2 linked regions of the Callithrix jacchus genome follow. The protein of the gene in region 2 purifies or fractionates together with the protein of the main gene of each other region. This does not show direct contact. Links are inferred from orthologs where the notes say so. Each region holds a gene or a part of one and is shown on either strand. Other genes may lie near its edges.

What was found.
Region 1: the proteins of MTMR2 (region 2) and MTMR12 purify together in Homo sapiens (affinity purification with mass spectrometry; 5 studies listed by BioGRID and IntAct, with this or other methods). This does not show direct contact. The link is inferred for Callithrix jacchus from reciprocal best matches to the Homo sapiens genes MTMR2 and MTMR12.

The regions. Positions count from the first base shown.
Region 1 is NC_133503.1:173,028,909-173,038,981, reverse strand, and holds part of MTMR12 (myotubularin-related protein 12), read right to left. Parts: intron 8,711-10,073; coding exon 8,604-8,710; intron 7,973-8,603; coding exon 7,848-7,972; intron 4,910-7,847; coding exon 4,831-4,909; intron 2,505-4,830; coding exon 2,434-2,504; intron 1-2,433. UniProt on the Homo sapiens protein: Acts as an adapter for the myotubularin-related phosphatases. Regulates phosphatase MTM1 protein stability and possibly its intracellular location. By stabilizing MTM1 protein levels, required for skeletal muscle maintenance but not for myogenesis.
Region 2 is NC_133511.1:44,299,734-44,310,277, reverse strand, and holds the start of MTMR2 (phosphatidylinositol-3,5-bisphosphate 3-phosphatase MTMR2), read right to left. Parts: upstream 6,731-10,544; 5' UTR 6,578-6,730; coding exon 6,498-6,577; exon of another isoform or gene 6,319-6,497; intron 1-6,318. UniProt on the Homo sapiens protein: Lipid phosphatase that specifically dephosphorylates the D-3 position of phosphatidylinositol 3-phosphate and phosphatidylinositol 3,5-bisphosphate, generating phosphatidylinositol and phosphatidylinositol 5-phosphate.

The sequences.
Region 1 (10,073 bases), on a different chromosome or scaffold from region 2:
TACAGGGTCCGGCATACACTGGGACTGAGTATGTATTTGCATACTGAATACATAAATACAGCACTGCAAAGCTACTTTCAGCATGTGGGGGTCTACGTGTGCCATACCTACAGAGAAAGCAGAATCATTTACATAATGATGACCTGCCAGCTTCCGCAGGCCAAGACTAAAGCCCTTCCTTCCTGAGGTGTGGAAGCCTCCGTCACTGAACTCACTGCTTCACAGCTATGCTGCTTCTCAAACTCACCTCAGACCTCCCTTCCTCCACTCCTAAGTCCTCCACTAACTCTACTTTGGAGAATGCTGAATGTTTCTTGACTGTAGCAAATTTATTTCTATTTTCAGCTCTAAGGCTCTGTCCTGTTTGAGGAGCATAGAGATGCCTGCTTCTCTGCCTAGACTAGGAAACTCTAAGGTTCTATCCTTTCCTGTTTGAGGAGTACAGAGGTACCTGTATCTCCTGTCTAGGAAGCTCTAAGGCTCTGTCCTTTCCTGTTTGAGGAGCACAGAGGTGCCTGCTTCTCTTCCTAGCATAGGAGACAAATTCTCCATGGTCTACTTCCATATGTCCACTTTTCATGCACTTTCCAAACCCATCTGATGAAAAGTCCACTCACATACTTGTTTAATATTTACGAGCTAGAGCAAAAGAACCACACATCCCTTAGAGTTTTAAGATCCTAAAAGTCAGAGTCTAAATCCCCAGTTTCCCTTTTACAAAAGTAGGTATGACTCAAGCTGTTTTTTAAAAAATGCCCATGAGGAGGATGGTGCTAGTTATCATTGGCATTAGAGAAACTTAAGAATGAATTGTAACTAGGAGGTGCTCATACTGTGTTAACTCTTTCATTTTGACTTCTATAATCACAGAGCACTTTGGGTCCAAGCTTACACTTCTCCCTCCAGGAAACAAGCCTCAGCTATGGGATGACATGGGTTACAGACAAATAGATTTTTATTTTTGTCTCCTAGTGTCATCAGTTTTCAAAATGAGTTTGTCTTTTTTTTTTTTTTTGAGACAGAGTCCCACTCAGTCACCCAGGCTGGAGTGTAGTGGCACAATCTTGACTTGCTGCAACCTCTGCCTCCCAGGTTAAAGCAATTCTTGTGCCTCAGCCTCCCAAGAAGCCAGAACTATAGGCACACAGCACCACGCCTGGCTAATTTAGTAGAGATGGGGTTTCATCATGTTGGCTAGGCTGGTCTCGAACTCCTGGCCCCAAGTGATCTGCATGACTTGGCCTCTCAAAGTTTTGGGATTACAGGCATGAGCCACTGTGCGCAGCCACAGGTTTCATTTTTAAGGAACATTTTCTTCTTGGATCTGAAGGGTGTTAATGATACTCCTAAGGGTAATGGGATAGGGGCTAAAAGAGATTTCAGAGATGAGACAATTCAGTAGTTCATCTAGGAGTGAAGGACGTCTCAGTTCCATCAGTCAAAGATTCAGATTTCACTACATACAACTCTGTGATAAATGCGTTCTGGCCCTCAGTCCTTCCATCCCTTAGACCTCCAATATTTATCTCTCCTCCTTTTCACAAATTGCTCAATACTCAAATAATGCTCTGTTCTGTCATTGCTGGTTAGATCTTTTTCAATAGCATACTTAAGGCAACTCTCTCATTAGGTTGTAAACATCTAGAAGGCAGAAGAACAGAGCCCAGCACATGGCAGGGGCTCAATAAATGTATTCAAATCTAAGTTGGTCAGCCAGTATCAGATGGACAGAAGCCATAGAAAGATACACGTTCCAGGCTGCCCTTAGAATGTAGGGCCAACAGTTAGTTTCAGAGAATGAGAAAAGCTTGGGGGTATCAAGCATAAGACAATCTATTTAATTAACAGTGTGGGGCTATATGAAACAAAATATTTCTAAACAGCAGGTAAGGTTTTAGCTTAGATTTAACTAGTTAAGGCACCAATCTTCGTTGCGTGGTGGTACACCTGTTTTCACCTGATCTGAATGTCTGCATCATGTACGGCAAGTTAAGCCCACTGAGGAAAAGGAAATCACAGGCCACCAAGTTTCTATGGTAACTGTATAAAGTGGCTAAACACAAAGATATAAAAATAACAACTAAGTCATCCATGGAGCTCTTTATATAAGAAGGATTATGAAAAGATTTTAACTTTAACCAAGCTCAGTTAATACGAAACAAAATCCAAAACATTAAGAAATGTGAGCTTTGGTAAAGATACCAAACAATTCCTTCTTGGAATAGGTCTTCCAAGTTTGAAGTGAAAGAATTTTGTTTTAAACTCTAAAACTGAAATCCAAGACAAAGGATTCCAGGGTTAGGGAAAAAGGAATAGAAGGATTTCTACACGATCTCACTCCTTTTGTTTCCAAATACATACGGCTACATGTACAAAAACTGAATCTCAAGTGAAGAAAAGTAGAAATCATCCTTTGTGTTTTATATGCATTACCTAAAAGAAGAACGTTCATGTTTTGTGCTTCCATACATTCTGTAATCTCTATTGCTTTCTTCAGGCAACGTCTAAATAGGAAAGAGACAAGAAAAAGGGGCATCAGTTCATGAGCTTGGTAACATAAGCAGTAAGTAGTTTAGAGATAGTGTGACTTGATCTTCAGTCTTCTCTCTTACTTTCTTTTCCCCCACACTAAAATCCTCCAGAAAAGAAACTAATTACCATTTACATTACTTAGATACTGGGATAAACTCGTGCCCATTAGAAATTGAAAATTTTCAGAAGGGAATCCTAAAATTGATGTTAAAATGCTCCTAGTTGATTTCCTTTTTTTTTGAGATGAAGTTTTGCTCTTGTTGCCCAGGCTGGAGTACAATGGTGTGATCTTGGCTCAACTTCGCTTCCTGGGTTCAAGCTATTCTCCTGCCTCAGCCTCCCAAGTAGCTGGGATTACAGGCATGTGCCACCACGCCCAGCTAATATTTTGTATTTTTAGTAGAGGCAGAGTTTCACCATGTTAGCCAAGATGGTCTTGATCTCCCAGCCTCAGATGATCTGCCCGCCTTGGCCTCCCAAAGTGCTGGGATTACAGGTGTGGCCAATGCACCTGGCACTAGGTGATTTCTAAACTAGACATTCTTATTAAAAACTCATGCCTGAGTCTGTTGGTGAGCAAGACTCATAAAAATCCGTATCTGGAGAATGGGAGACATATCCAGATTGCTTTATTTAAGGTGACCTGCTGAATGTATCACTGTGGCTAAAAAGCTCCAATATGCTCAGAAATCCTTTTTGTCTCTCTCTACACGTTATTCCCTTTGTGATTGTTGCCGCTATTCCCAGCTTTGACTTGTCTCTCATGTATAACTGGGAGCCTTCACATATGGTGTCCTCTGCCTCAGAGGTATCTTCTCCTGCCGCCCAGCCACCCTCTCTTCCCACATCCCGACTCTTCATCTGGCTAGATATGCTCACCCTTCTCTGCCCACCCCACACAAAGAAGGGTTCTTTGCTTTTATAACATTTATCACTGTCTGCCACTATAAATTCAAATTATGAGACGTGTAGCAGGATATCTGAAGCAGTTAAGTGTCTGGAGGACAGCGGCTCCTTTCCACAATACTCACTGCAGAATGGAGAAAGAATGTGTGTGAGGCAGTAGGAAGCTCTGCTTTTCCTCCTGAAATGTAGCCTAGCGTGAGAGCTATTCTCTCATCCTGATCATCTTTTCTGTTTTGCACCCTTCTCTGTTATCTCCTCTATTTGATGGGAACAGAGAAGAGCTACTCAATATAGAAATTAGGAAAGGCAATATATAACTCTGTTGTCTGGAACTCTCAACCTAACTCCCAAACCAAAATTTAATCATGTTTTTTTTGCTTTTGTTTTTGTTTCTGTTTTGAGATGGAGTCTTGCTCTGTCACCCAGGCTGGAGTGCAGTGGCGCAATCTCAGCTCACTGCAACTTCTGCCTCCTGGGTTCAAGTGATTCTCCTGCCTCAGCCCCCCGAGTAGGTGGGATTACAGGCATGTGCCACCACACCCACTTTTGTATTTTTAGTAGAGACGGGGTTTCACCGTGTTAGCCAGGATGGTCTCGATCTCCTGACCTCATGATCCACCCACCTCGGCCTCCCAAAGTGCTGGGATTACAGGCATGAGCCACCGTGCCGGCCTAATCATGGGTTTTTTTTTTTTTCTTTGATACAGAGTTTCACTCTTGTTGCCCAGGCTGGAGCGCAGTGGTGCGATCTTGGCTCACCGCAACCTCCACCTCCCAGGTTTAAGTGATCCTCCTGCCGCAGCCTCCTGAGTAGGTGGGATTACAGGCATGCACCACCATGCCCAGCTAATTTTTTGTATTTTCAGTAGAGATGAGGTTTCTCCATGTTGGTCAGGCTGGTCTTGAACTCCCGACCTCAGGTGATCTGCCTGTCTCAGCCACCCAAAGTGCTGGGATTACAGGTGTGAGCCACTGCGCCTGGCCTAATCATCATTTTTTAAAAACACAGGTAATATATGTATAAGACACAAAATTCAAAAAGGTATTCAGTGAAAAGTCAGTATCACTCCTGTTCTCACCCCCAGTTTCCTCCCTGGAGGCCAGCACTGCTGCCTCAGTGATAATTCTGGGTTGTCACACTCTTTCTGTGGTATTTCAATGCCTTGTCTGCAGAGTACATCTCCTTGTAACCAGGTGGCATGTTCATAAATTCCTATCAAATGTGCACAGAAATAAGTAGCAAATGTAAAATCTAGCTGAGCCCTGAAGAGAACATGTATCTAAGAATATTTAACTGTGAAATATCATACAATTACATTATTTGTCAGTTTGATCTACTACCCTGAGTTAGACAACTGTAAAATTCATGAGTAAAACAATGGTTTGAAATACCTGATTATGTCAAGCCAGCTGCTACTTTCTAACAGAGAAAACCATTTTATATCTGTGTCCCAAAATTCAGTACTGTTATCTGAAAAAAGAAAAAGGAGTAAAGACATTAGGTCATTGTTCACTGAAATACTTGCCACAGAAATTCTCTGCTACTCAACTGTGTCATTCAGATTAACAGTCCAGACTCAAACTGCAGAATCCAGGCACAGGACTTTAGGGCCATTTCAAAACTTTAGCTGAAATGGTTTTTGAGCTGTAGGTCTCTAGAAGGTTGCAGTAATCAAAAAGAGATCTTTACTGCTAAAATAAGAAATTCCTACAATGCATACACAAAGCCATGGTTCATTCTGTAAGTTGACAGAGAGTAACATGCTTTAGGCAGAAATAGTTGACATCCAGGCTGCTATATCCTGATGCCATGAAAGCCTAAGGGTCAGACTTGATTTTCATTAGAATCTCAATGCACAAGTTCCTACACCCAGTATACCACGACATGACTCCCCCCTACATGCCTCATAAAACAGAGAACCTTCAATCTTACAGAAATCCAATGTATTTAAAAGTTGCAAACTCAGGCTGGGTGCTTTGGCTCATGCCTATAACCCCAACACTTAGGGAGGCTAAGGCAGGAAGATCACTGGAGGCCAGGAATTTGAGGTTGCAGTGAGCTATGATGGTGCCACTACACCCTATCAGAGCAAGACCCTGCTTCTAAAAAATGAAAAAAAAGTTGCAAAACTCAAATCAAGAAAAGGCAGATATCCCTGGAAGTCCTGAGTGATTGAAATAAAACTAGAATGAGTATCCTTTATTAAACAGTAAACATATATTGTAATGTTTTAGTTTGAGATAGGGTCATACATTGCTGTTTCCCCTGCAAGGGTATAAGCTCTTGGTGTTATATTCCGCTTTATCACCAATGCCAGCATAGTTAGCATATACAAGGGACTTTAAAAGTATGTGAAAACATGGAATCAAAAGACGAAAATAAAAAATATAAACTTTATTTCTCAACATAAGCTCCATCAAGTTTAAGACACTCTCATAAGAGATGATACCAGCCATTTAGTTCACCCCTAAAGAACTGAGGGTCCTGGGAATTTAACCATGTCATTGCAGTCTATTTTACATTATTAACTGAAAAAAAAAAAAGGGTTCCCTTTAAGGATACACACACGCACATACACTTTATTTATTTTTTGAGACGGAGTTTCACTCTTGTCACCCAGGCTGAAGTGCAATGGCATGATCTTGGCTGACAGCAACCCCTGCCTCCCGGATTCACTCTCCTGCCTCAGCCCCCTGGAGCAGCTGTGATTACAGGCACCTGCCACCATGACTGGCTAATTTTTGTATATTTAGTAGAGATGAGGTTTCACCATGTTGGCCAGGCTGGTCTCAAACTCCTGAACTCAAGCGATCCGCCTGTCTCAGCCTCCCAAAGTGCTGGGATTATAGGCATGAGCTACTGCGCCCGGTGAGTAGGTTTGCTCAACTTTAACTCTTCAGTCAGAATTGTGTAAGCTGAACCATCTGAGATGTCTATGGAGTTGACTATTGTTTCTTCTGCTGTCGGTCCTCTTCAATTAAGGCAGAAAAAAGACTAATTTTTTCCTTGCAAACCGATGTGGACAGTTTGCCACTGCAGGCTTCATAGTTGACATCATCTCCTTCTTAAAAATGAGTTGCCCATTTGTAAACTGCTGATTTCTTTGGGGCATTGTCCCCATAAACTCTTGTGAAGCATCAATAATTTTACCACTCCTCCATCCAAGCTTCACCATAAATTCAATATTTGTTTTTGCTTCAATTTTAGCAGAATTTGCATTGCTCTGATAGGAGCTATTTTCAAACTAATATCTTACCCTTCTTAGCTCTTCAAACCAGATCCTGCTCAGGCATGTTATAAGTTAGTATGAATTATTTCGGGGTAAAAAAGTTTTGAAATTCATGCATAATTTTTGTATAATATACATTTTCCATGAACTTTCTGAAGACCCCTTGTACAATGGAAACTCAATAAATGTCACTGAACAAATCCTAAAATAGTTAAGAATTTGCTAGGCTAAAAAGTCCAAGTTAGTCCAGGCAGGGACTCACGCCTATAATCCCAGCACTTTGCAAGGCCAAAGTGGGAGGATTACTTGAGCCTTAGAGTTCAAGATCAGTCTGGACAACATTATGGGACTCTGTCTCTACAAAAAAATACAAAAATTAGCCGGGTGAGGGGGCGTGTGCCTGCAATCCCAGCTACTTGGGAGGCAGAGGTGGGAGGATCACTTGAGCCTGGGAGTTTTAAGGTTGCAGTGGGTTGTGATCGTGCCACTGCACTCCAGTCTGGATGACAGAGGTGAGACCCTGTCTCAGAAAAAAAAAAAATGTCCAAGTGAGGAAAAGTTACCTATAGGCATGACAAGTCTCGGAGCATAAAGACTCATTCCAGAATGAAGAGAATCAATGAGTGACTGGGCAGAGTTAAACATGAACCACCAGTAGGCAGCCTGGGCAGGAAAAGGGGGGTAGCTGGGACTGGCATGTTTCGTTTTCTACCTTGTACATTTCTGATAAAACTTTTAATATTGTTAAAAACTGTATATTCCCAATCATGGGAAAAACAAAGTATTTCCACTTTGGGGAAAAAGTCTACTGAAGAAAATGAACATCATTCACTTTATAAATCACCGCAAGTCAACAAATATAAATACTGCATAGTTCAAAAACTTTTAAAGGAAGAAATCAAAATGCTCACCACTGGACAACTGGTATATTGAGGAAAGGGGAGAAGAGAAGGGTGGCTGTGTGATCACTGCCACAATAAGGAGGCTGGGGGAAGCCTGGAGAGAGATGGACAGGGAAGTGTAGTGATGGCAGCCAGAGACTCTGGCTCCATGACATTGCAGCCCTGGGCTCTGCATACCACGGTAAGGAACTCAGAAAAAAGGCAACAACTTTCACCTGATCTGCATGGCCTGACTTTCCCCATCTGACACAAAGTTTTTGCTCAGTATTCTTCTCACCTATCAGAAACAGCTGTTTAAACTTAGAGTATGCAGTCTGGATTTCCTGCAGGGATAGGAAGTTGCTTGACAGGTCTTCAGTTTTAACAATTTCATAGGGTGGCCTGTGGATGGTCTTGTAAATTCTAGGTACCAAAAAGGAATATGAGATTAGAAGAGCAAACACAAATTTTGCCTGAGGATTTACAATTTGCCATGATCTGTGTTAAGGGCTCGGTAGGCATTCTCCAATTTAAACTTCACCTACCAGGCAACTGTCTGGGACTCCCGTTCCCGGTCAACAGGTGTGGAAATGGAGGTGCACAGTAAAACTGCCTGGCCCAATATTATACAATTTATAAACTGACAGAGCCATGATTTGGACCAAGGCAATGTGACTCTGAGTCTATTCCTTTTTTTTTTTTTTAATTTTAAATTCATCTACTTTTAAAAAAATTTGAAACATGCAGAAAGTAGAATAGTACAGTGACATGTACCATGACCTAAAATTGACAACTGTTAATCTTACAGACAACATGTCACCTCCCCGCTGAAGACTTTAGCATGCACCTCTAAAAACAATGCAGGTGACATTCTTAATTATTATGTTATACTGACTCCTTTCAAATTAACTCAAAACAATCACTATAAGTTGTATTTCCCTAGCACTAAGCTACTAGTAGGTAAACAGAAATACACATACTAATGAGAGCTGTTCCTTGCTTCTTGGAAAACACAAACTGAATAAGAACAAAATATAGAACTACTAGTACTAACCTATCTAAGAAGCCCTTTTGGATTTGTAAAATGCCATCATCCTGTTCTTTGGGCAGTGCTGACATTTTCAATAGGGCACTTCCATTGTGGCAGGACCAACACCATATCTGCAGAAAGAAATAAAGATTTACCAGACATAATAAACACAACCCAACAGGGGACACACAAGCTTAGCATTTAAATGCATACATGGAAATTTGTAACTTCAGTATGAAATGGCTGGACATACTCAACTTTATTAAGCCTGGGAGTATTTAGTCACAATGAAAAAGAATGATTTAGTTTTAAAAAATAAACAGGTCTAGGTAGTTAGACACAGACTTACAGTCTAACATATACCTTTTGACTTATCATCTGCATTTGATAACCAGATGATAACAGTTTTATTTATTTATTTATTTATCGAGACAGAGTCTTACTCTTTCGCCCAGGCTGGAGTGCAGTGGTGTGATCTCTGCTGACTGCAACCTCCGCTTCCTGGGTTCAAGCAAGTCTCCTGCCTCAGCCTCCTGAGTAGCTGCGACTACAGGTGCATGCTGCCATGCCCAGCTAATTTTTTGTATTTTAGTAGAGATGGGGTTTCACCGTGTTGCCCAGGCTGGTTGTGAACTCCTGAACTCAGGCAATCTGCCCACCATGGCCCCCCAAAGTGCTGGGATTACAGGCATGAGCCACTGTGCCTGGCCAACAACATTATTATTATTAGGATAGTAGCTATCATTCAAGTGCAGTGTATTACATGTCAGGAATTAACTCATTTAATTGTTATGGTAACTCTCTGTGATAGGTATGATTCTTTATCCCCCCTTAACAGCAAGAAACTAAGGCTTGAAGAGACTGAAGGACTTCCCCAAGTTGTACAGAAAGTAGCACCAGTGTGATTCTAAAGGCTGTGTTGTATATGGATGGCAAAAAGCGGGCAATTCTCATGAGAGAAAATCCATAGTAGGAAGAATGGCATGTCACCCATTTGCTATAACTGAATGCAAGACTGTGACGTGCAACACCTCGTTAGGTCATGAGAGGGCAAAAAGATACTAAGATACTGTGTCTACCTTCAGAGGTTCAAGTTTCAAAAGGGAAATAAGCTTAGGAATATAAAAGAAGGTAGAATGTTATTATAGAACAGAAGAAAGAAATTTCAAGGAACAACAAAAAAAGGGGAGGGAGAAAGAAGTCACATGAGTGACATAAGCGGCAGGCCAGGCTGTGTAGGCTTTTTACTGCCTTGGCAACAGGTTAAGGAGTTCAGGCTTTTTTTGGGATACAGTGGGGGCGGGGTAGGGGGAGTTGTTTATTTGTTTTTCAGGAAGAAAGGGAGATTAGAACTGACCTTGGGGCCAAGTAACCTGCCAGTGGAGCCTAGAATGGAGGAGAGAGACAGACTAGTTGGACAGTGAGTACAGCTGTGAACTTTGAGCCCTGCATAAAGGCCTGGCTAAGTGCTTGAGAGTGGCTAAGGTCCAGCCC
Region 2 (10,544 bases):
ACTGTATTCTAACAATGAAAAAAATGTTATTAAGATAATCATAAGGAAGAGAAAATATATTTACCACTCTTTAAGTGGAAGTGGGTCATCATAAAGTTTGTTATCCTCATTGTGTTGCACAAGCTGAGGAGGAAGAGGAGAGAGGTTGCTCTTGCAGTGGCAGAGGTGGCAGAGACAGAAGAAAATCCACATAAAAGTAGATCCAAACAGTTCACACCCATGTGATTCGAGGGTCAACTGTAACTTTCTTAAATGCTTGTTTCCACTAATCTTTCTCACTAAGAATCTATTTTTTAAAAAAAGCCTAAAACACATATTCTTGTTTTGTGTTACTTATGGCTGAGAAAGAAAAATGCCTTAGTAAATGGCCTAGAAATCAAATCTAATAAATCTACAGGAGATGACTTTTACCTTGTACTACTTTAGTTAACATTTTTACAAAAATGCTCTCAAGTAATAGCTTTACAGTAGCTCTATCACAGACCTTAACTTAGTTTTAACTAATGTTGATTGCATTATAAAAGGCACCAATTAGCAAAAGATCCAAGGCAGTGGTTTTCAAACTTTAGTGTCCATCAGGATGACCTGGAAAGATTCCTAAAACATTAACAGCTGGGCTCAACCCCTAAAGTTTTTAATTCAATTAGGTTCAAGGTAGGGCCCAATAATTTGCATTTTTTAAGAAATTCTGAAGAGACACTGATGCTACTGGTCTAGAGACGAAACTTTGGGAACTACTGATCTACACTAATAGAAAACTATTGATAATAGCATAAGGAAAAATATATACAGGACCCCATCTCAAGTTCAGTATCAACTTGCATTTTTAAAACACATCCTTTCTGAAAAGCTAGACAATTGCTAATTATTACAGAGCAATATTGGTTCTTATCTAAAAGAACTTAGATCTTTGATGGTTTTTAAAGAATGGAATCCAAAGTAAGTCATTTTTAGTCTAACATGGTCAATGTTTGATGCAAGGTGCTACTAATAATGCCAAGATTATAGGTTCAACCTGGTAGCTTTACTCTGTTCTACAGCTATAATTTCTACCTCTAATCTTGCCAGCTGTCTGAGAAGACATGCCAAGAATGACAAAGGAAATGGGTAAAAATGTGTGATTGTACACAAATCCATCACCACTACTAGAAAAACAACATAAAAGCATCTTTCCTACCAACATATCACTTTTTATCTTTTTGAGACAGGGTCTCACTGTCTTGCCCAGGCCAGAGTACAGTGGCACCATCATGACCCATTGCAGCCTCAACATCCCCAGGTTCAGGTGATCCTCTCACACCAGCCTCCCAAGTAGCTGGGACTATGGGACTACAGGCATGCACTACCATGCCCAGCTAACTTTTTATTTTTTGTAGAGAGTGTTCTGTCATGTGACCCAGGCTGGTCTGGAACTCCTGGGCTCAAGCGATCCTCCAGCCTCGGCCTCCCAAAGTGCTAGAATTACAGGCATTAGCCAATTCACCTGGTCTCCAACAAGTCACTCTTAAGTGACCTTGAAGCTAAAACTCAAGATAAGACCTTGCAACAAAATGCATTTTAGAAATCTACAAAACTCTTCTACTTCTTCAGGCTGTAAGTATACTCAAAATCCATAGAAACAGAAATCCAGGAATTGCTGTTTTCAAATGATGATAATTTTAAGGCAGGCATGCAATTTAGAAATGCAATTCATTGAGAACTCCTTTGAGTATGTGTACCTTCCCTTTGATTTTTTAATGGAATTTAAATGTAACTATAAGATGTTCATCAATGCTAATGAAATTATATACTAGAAACTGATAAAACCAGAATAATCTGGGATAAACAAGTATGGTACCCGGAATTACTAAAGCCTGAGGATACATAAAGGATAACAAGAATACACATTAAATAAAACAACTAACAACCTAAGTTAGAGCAAAAGGGTCTAAAGTAATCAAGAGTAGCAGATGAATAAATAGGTAGTTGCAGAGGATGTAATAACCTCAATATGTATAGGACTGGACACAGAACAGATAATGCAGCCAGTAAAATCAGCTCAAGATGTCCAGAGTCTCCCAGAAAAATAACTTTAGCTTAGACCTGAAATTCCAAGTGTTCAGGCCAAATTCAACAGAAGAAATCCTTTTTAATCCTTTGAATGGGAACAACAAATAAAACCAGTGGTGAACATTCTGTCAACATTCTTTTATTTAGTTGTTCACTGGGCACCTATTTGGCACTAGATATCTTACCATTTGATTATGCACAATACAAAGTAATCAAAGAAGCTTACTAAAGCAGTGCACTTTATAATAGTGTATAAACTGAAAAATGGAAAACCAGACTAAGATGGCAAATTATTACCAATATAATGTCAAAGTCTGCTGTGTAACTCATTACAGTTCTGAGGCTCAGGCCTACTCTTACCACATCTGACCTACAGTATTATTTTATCTATATTCTATAAAGTCACACTTATATCAAGAATCAGAGCACACCCAACAAGAATAAAATTACACAATATAGGTAGATTATCAGGAAGCTGAAGTGAATTTTTCCATAACGCCCTCTTTCTGTGGGGATAGACATGCATGAAGAATGGCCAACAGCAAGATATACAAGAGTTGCTGAACACTTTACTAAAGTATGGCAATATTAAGCAGGACTCACCAAAGACAATTGTTTTTCTCTATTTTTGAGACAGAGCCTCACTCTGTTGCCCAGGTTGGAGTGCAGTAGCATGATCTCAGCTCACTACAACTTCTGCCTCCCAGGTTCAAGCGATTCTTGTACCTCAGCCTCCCGAGTAGCTAGGGTTACAGGCGCATGTCATGCCCAGTTGATAATTACTTTTCTGTTTTTGTAAAGATGCGGGATGACATAACTACAGCTGATTAGGAAGTTGCTCTCTGTATATCATATGAGGAATGAAATTTCTCTTTTGTGGGCAAAGGCATTAGGCCTATGATGACCTAGAAGGCATAACTGGAAACAAGAGCAACTCTGAAATGACTAGAGATACTTAATAAGACTCATATGTTTAGTGTGAACTACAGATTGCACAATGGGCCTTTCATCCAACTTCAATGGAGTATGTCATTTTCTTTCTTTCTTTTTTTTTTTTTTTTTGAGACAGAGTTTCACTCGTTACCCAGGCTGGAGTGCAATGGTGAGATCTCGGCTCACCGCAACCTCCGCCTCCACCTCCTGGGTTCAAGCAATTCTCCTGCCTCAGCCTCCAGAGCAGCTGGGACTATAGGCGCTCGCCACCACGCCCAGCTAATTTTTGTATTTTTAGTAGAGACGGGGTTTCACCATGTTGACCAGGGTGATCTCGATCTCTTGACCTCGTGATCCACCCGCCTCGGCCTCCCAAAGTGCTGGGATTATAGGCATGAGCCACTGTGCCAGGCCTTCATTTTTTAAAATACTTTTATTTAAAAAACTTTTTCTTTTTTAGAGATGGGGGTCTCACTAATTTGCCCAGGCTGGTCTCAAACTCCTGGACTCAAATGATCCTCCCACTTTGGCCTCCCAAAGTGCTGGGATTACAGGCATGAGCCACGGTGCCCCACCAAGTATGCCATTTTCAAAAAGCAATGGGCAACCACATGGATTACTGCATTATTCTTCCGACTTCCTAGAAAGGCTTAAGACATCTAATCAATACATTTAAACATAACACATAATATTTAACTTGAGTTCATGTAATAATAAAAGTATTTAAAGAAATTAGAGATACTATCACCTTCAGATATAAATTTGACTAAAATGTTTTACTAAGCTACAGAGAAAGATGCAGTTACGTAGTTACCATTTACTAACAAACAAGGAGCATACATAATTATTTCCATAAATAATTTTCCTTGTAGCTAAACTCAGCAGAAATTTATGTCAATCCATGTGTGAAAGACATTGTGACACATTTAGCAATATAATTAACTATTATTTTGCCAGAGACATCAAAACAAATTCACAAGGCAGTTTCTCAATTAGGCCTCTGTATAAAAACAGCAAGCATAAAAATAAACTACAATTTAAGGGCATCATTTCTGCAAAGACTAAGACACTATAGGCCAAACAGCAATAGTTTTGCTTTGTCGAAGGCTAATGAAACAAAAGAAATAACTTAATCTAGACAGACACTTAACATAGCTATGAGACCATGGTAGTCCACACTGGCAATGCATTAGAATCACCTGCGATGAAGTGTTAGATTAAGTTTAAAATTAAGCTTTCTAAATTCAGTTTAAAATTAAGCTTTCTAACTAGTGTCTATAATGTATCTATTACATACTATTGATTAAAGAAAGTGCCACAAACAGGTATGATGATTAATGAAATAAGAGATATATAGAATTTAGCAGGGAAACTTCCATACAGTTGACATTAAGTAAATGTTATTTTCTACCTTCCAGAGGAGAGTAATGAAAGCTGGCATTCTCTATGTTATGGAAAATAGGAGTCACACTTATATTTTTTGTCCATAGAGGCTGAGGCTAATCTACTATAATCACAATTCTTTCGAGGAATACTTAATTTTCTCAAATTCACGTAACAATTTTTTTATGAAGAATATACATATATAAACTTTAAACTTGCTGGGCTTTCTTTTTTAGGAAGTAAGTATGCAAAAGTGGCACCTTTAGGTCTATTCGTTTGTAATAATAAAAGACACTTATTTAGTGTATTTGCAAAAATCCAAACCCAAAGTTATTTGCAAAGGAATTATCTTTAAAATTAATAAGAATGAGTTTATCTTAATAAGTATTGTCATTACAATTAAAAAATGACAATTTTAGAGTTCAAAGGGACCTTACAGATTTTGTAGATCAAGCCTCTTGATTTAAAAGATGAGAAAACTGTAGACTAAAAAGGTTAAATGATAAAGGCCAAAGAGCTAGCTCAGCAAGAGACTTCAGCATGGGAACTTCCTAACTTCCAGTACCTCCTAACAGTAGGCTGCCTCTTGTGGTTCTAACTCCTCTGCCTTGGATAGCGTACTGGTTGCCTCTTGTTCTACTCTGAGGCATAGCTGTCATTTGTAACTTTCCCATAAAATTTGAATTTTCCAACCTGTTTTCTGAATGAATTATTTTACAACTGAACATGTTAACCCTCAGCTTTCTAAATTTCAAAGCAATAAATACAGAATTCAAAAAATACTTGATTCACACGTGCAATACATATAACCAAACTGCAAAGGAAAATCCTCCTTTCCTGGATAATTCAGTTTACATCTATCACATGCTGAGACTATGTTAAGTGCTGGAGATATGAAGATGATTAAGATATGGCCCTTGTTCTCAAATATAATACCTTACAGCCTGGGAGGAAAAAAACTTTAAGCTAACAATTATAGGGTGCTTGTTAAGGACTGAAAAAGGACTGGGCAAGAACCTATAAATGCAGATAGAGATTTAGAATGATGGGATCAGACGGAGGTTCCCCAATGAGGTACTGAACAACAATAGGAATTCTGCTACCCATATTTAGCAGAATCCAAAATGAATTATAGTGGAGCCACTTCAATTGATTCGAGGAGAAAATGAAAATTGTGTTTTCACACAGCAGTTATCAAATAACTCTCTAATAACAATTAGACTTTTTTTCAGTGGAAAAGAACCAGATTGCATCGTGGCTGCATAAAAAGCAAAACACAGGTCTTATATGATTGCTTAGTAAAATTTTAAATCATTATTTTAAAATCAAAGAAAAAGACTGCATATCCAAAACACATCTAGTTAATATTCATGAAAGCTCTCTGCAAAGCTGCATAAAGTCCTCAAAATTTCAGGATAAAATTCCCATCTGTTACAAGAGAAATGACAACCTGGAGAACCAGTAGCCCAAGAAGGAAGAAAACTACCACTTATTTTCTTTTCTTAAACCTATCACTGGGGATGAAAACTACTCAGATTCCTTGATACTGACTTTCAGCTGGAAGATTTAGAAAAGAGAAGCACAGGAGACACTTTTATTTACATATTTAAGCAAAAGGAGAGGCGAGAAGAAAATCAGAGTGTAGACATAAGCGTGAAAGAAATTAAGAAAGTGAAGCCATGAAAGAGAGAAAAGGGTTGGGCAAGAACCCAAAAACCAAAGACATAAGAAAGGGTGGAAGAAGAGACATTGACTGAAGGATGGTTTTGGAAAAAGTGATACAGAAAGACAGGAAATGAGGGGGAAAGAATGGGGGGGGCTGTCTAAAAAAAAGACCGAGAGGGAACGACAGACAGGAGAAAGTAATTAACTGAGGCCACCTTCATCGGGGAGAATACGAGATCGGAATATGAAAGGTAGAGGAATCTAGAGACAAGCAGCGAGTTTAACCACCTTTTCCTCAGCCTCCACGCCCCAGAGAGGGAGGCAGAAGTGATTCCCAAGTCCCGGGGAAGGAATTCCGGCGCAGCCTTCAGAAACCACAATCCGCGAGTTGGGGCAATGTCCAGCGGGTCCCCGGCCCCTCTCCATCCCCTTCGGCCGCTGGGCGGGGCCCTGGGCGCCCTGGTTACCTGGACAAGGAGTCCACGCTGGGCGGCCGAGCCGCCGCCGGCTGGGAGCCAAGACTCTCGCAGCTGGAGCTCTTCTCCATGGCGCGGCAGGGGCAGCAGAGGAGAAGGCTGAAGCGGTCTTCGAGGCTGCAGGGCGTGAGAAGCAGAGGGCGGAGTGCTTCGGGCAGGGGCCGCAGTTAAGCCAGCGCCGGCCAGGGAGGGAGACCGGAAGCGGCCATGTTCCCCCAGAGTGCACCGCGCCTGGAGCCTGCGGGGGAGCGGGAAGACCCCCACTGCGTTGCTCCGACGCCTTCCCCGACGCGCAGTACTCGCAGTGTCCGGCCGCGCGACCTCTGTGCTTGGGGAAAGGGAGGTGGGGGCTTCCAGAGTGAGAGGGTCTGGCGAAGCGGGAGGAATGGGGGACCAGACCCTTGGGGAAGGTGGAGAAATCCTAGGTATAAGAGGAATGACGGAACATTAGGCCTGAGGGTCTCAGGAAAGAGATAAAAGACCCGAGGCCCAGAGAATGATTGAGACAGGAATGTGGAGATCAAGGAAAACATAAGGACGGGATAATGAGAGAAAAGTGAGGGAAAGAGGGATGGAAGAGGGAATGGGGAGGAAACTGATAAACATTAAAAAAGAATTATACACATATACTACAGGCTGCATTGACATTGGATATTCCACCCAAGTAGAAGGCAAACTTTTACCGATTTTTCCCTGCCCTTTCAAATTTCCCTGCCTAGCAGTAAGGGAGTGTGGAGGAATAGAACCGTGATAAGAGAAAAGGAACTGGGTAAAGGGGAAATGCTTCTGCTAGGATTTTTGTGTTACAGAGGACTCAGGAAGGCCATAAGAACACCATAAAGGAGTTTTTCTGATTGAGATTGAATCCCAATCATCTCATGTATGGGGTGTAAAATTATGCAAAGATTATTCCTTTTTTAAAAAAATCAGATGATCCTTAAGAGAAAAAATTTCCTTGCTAGGAAAAATAAAATTATATTAATTTAAATTAGATTTAATTTACATTGTACGACTGATGTCTTTTAAGAAACCTTATAGTTGCAGTGCAGTGTTAACTTGCAAGTACATTCCCCAGAAGAACAACCTAGCTTAGTTATGCTCAGTGTAAGCCAGAGTAGTTACTGATGAATGAGTATGTGTTGAAGCACAAAAGGCTTAGCCGTTCTGTTCCTTTTTTCAGTTTGGCAAGGACTGACAGCCACTGATTGTTTTTATTTCCATAATTTTTAAGAGACGTTAACTGTACTCTGTAGGCAAAGGGAGTCGATAGAAACATTTTTTAACAAACTTAAATATCTGTAATGACTCGTAGAAGAATTTCCTTATTTCTTCACCATCTCTACCTGCCTTCCAAAATGCTGACTCACTGTCAGCTACTTAGATTTCTTAAGTATGGTGAAGACTGATGAACCCTTGAATGGGAGACCCCTGTACTTTGTTCTACCCAGTTCATTCCTAGCATTGTGTTAATAGAACCCTCAGAACCTTCTTTTTTTTTTTTTTTTTTTTTTTTTTTTTGAGACGGAGTTTTGCTCTTGTTACCCAGGCTGGGTGCAATGGCGCAATCTCGGCTCACCGCAACCTCCGCCTCCTGGGTTCAGGCAATTCTCTTGCCTCAGCCTCCCAAGTAGCTGGGATTACAGGCATGCGCACCGTGCCCAGCTAATTTTTTGTATTTTTAGTAGAGATGGGTTTCACCATGTTGACCAGGATGGTCTCGATCTCTTGACCTCGTGATCCACCCGCCTCAGCCTCCCAAAGTGCTGGGATTACAGGCTTGAGCCACCATGCCCTGCAGGACCCTCAGAACCTTCTGCCTGATGTAACAATGTGTGTATGGTTCTACCTAGTGATTAATAAAGAACAGTGTACTTAAAAATGTAGAGACATTGGAACCAGACAACCTGTGTTAGAATCCTGGTTCTGTCACTACATTTGCTGTATGCTTGTGGTTAAGTTGTTTCTTGTCTCTAAAATACGAATAAAAATACCCATATAATAGATTGTTTTCCTGTATACAGTCAGTTGTACAGTATGGTCTCAGTAATTAGATCTATTATTACTCGTTTTTCCACTGAACTTACTGCTTTACTTCTAACCTGGCTGGCAAAATGGTAACTTCTCAGAATGAAAACACAAGCAAAGAATATCAGCTGAAAATTAATTAGTGAACTCTAATTAATTAATGAACTGTAAGTGAAAAGAAAAATGAAAAAAATGGTTAACTCGAAACCTTACCAAAAGTTATTAATTTTCAATTTGTAGTCTGGGCTTTTTCTTACACTATCTGCAGGAAGGAACAGTGTTTTGTTTTTAATTTCTAAACCATCACCAACCAATACCTTTTTAAAAGATAAGAAAAATTAATCACAGTCGGCCCTTTATAGCCATGGCTTCCATGTCCTGAGATTCAACCAACCACAGAGTGAAAATTTTTTTTTAATTGTAAAAATTAACAATAAAAATAATACAAATAGAAAACAATACAGTGTAACAATATAACATTTACATTGTGTTCAATGTTATAAGTAATCTAGAGTCAATTTAAAGTATATAGGTGGATATACATAGGTTATTTGTGGATACTGTGCCATTTTATATAAGGGACTTGAGCATCCTTAGATTTTGCTATTATTGTTGGGGGTCCTGAAACCAATAACCTGAAGATACTAAGAAGTAACTGTACTAGGAAAATTAAATTTAAGAAAAAGGTATGCAAAATACAAGGCCAAATTGTTTATTAGATTTAACAGACACTACTCCATGAACGTTTCATAAAACTTCCTAAATATTTATTCTCATATTGCCTTTATCTCATCATAGACAGACAACAGTTCATGTGTGGATACTACACCAAAAAACTGTTGAGAGCTGATAATAAACTTGCAGAATACAAAATCAACATCCAAACTTAGTTGCACTTCTATACATCAATAATGAAATGGCCAAAAAAAAAAAAAAATCAAGAAAGCAATCCCATTTACAAATACTACAAAAAAAACAAAAAACAGGAATAAGTTTAACCAAGGAAATGAAAGACCTCCTCAAAGAAAACTATAAAACTCGGATGAAGGAAATTGAAGAAGATGCAAACAAATGGAAAGACATTCCATGGTCATGGAACAGAACAATTAACATTAAAATGACCATACTACACAAAGCAATCTACAAATTCAATGCAATGTCTATCAAAATATCAGTGTCCTTTTTCACAAAAAAAGAAAAATTCTAAAATTCACATCAAACTAAAAAACAGTCTGAATTGCAAAAGCAATCCTGAGCAAGAAGAACAGAATTGGAGGCATCAGACTATCTCACTTCAAAATATAAATAAATATAAGGCTATACCTACAGCAGGGTATTGGTATAAAAACAAACACACATACCAAAGGAACATTAGAGAGCATCCAGAAATAAATACATGCATTTACAGCCAACTGATTTTGGAGAGACATCAAGATTATCCTTAAACTGTGGGAAGAATAATCTCTTTAATAAATTGTGCTAGGAATTTTGGATATTCATATTCAGAAGAATAAAATTGGACCCCTGTATCTTACCACATACACAAATCAACTTAAGATGGATTAAAGACTAAAATGTAACACCTAAAGCTATAAAATAACTACAATAAAATATTAGGGAAATACTTCAGGACATAGGCAATGCTTTACAGCTAAAACATGAAAAGCACAGGTAGCAAAAGCACTAATAGACAAATGGGATTACATTAAAGTAAAAAGCTTCTTCAGAGTAAGGGAAACAATCAACAAAGTGAAGAGACAACTTGTTGAATGGCAGGGAATATCTGCAAACTATCTGACAAAAGATTAATATTTAGAATATATAATGAACTAAAAAATCTGAACAGTATAAAAACAAATAATCCCATTAAAAAAATAGGCAGGCCGGGCACAGTGGCTCATGCCTGTAATACTAGCACTTTGGGAGGCTGAGGTGGGCATATCACTTGAGGTCAGGAGTTTCAGACCAGCCTGGCCAAAATGGTGAAACCCTATCTCAACTAAAAAATAAAAA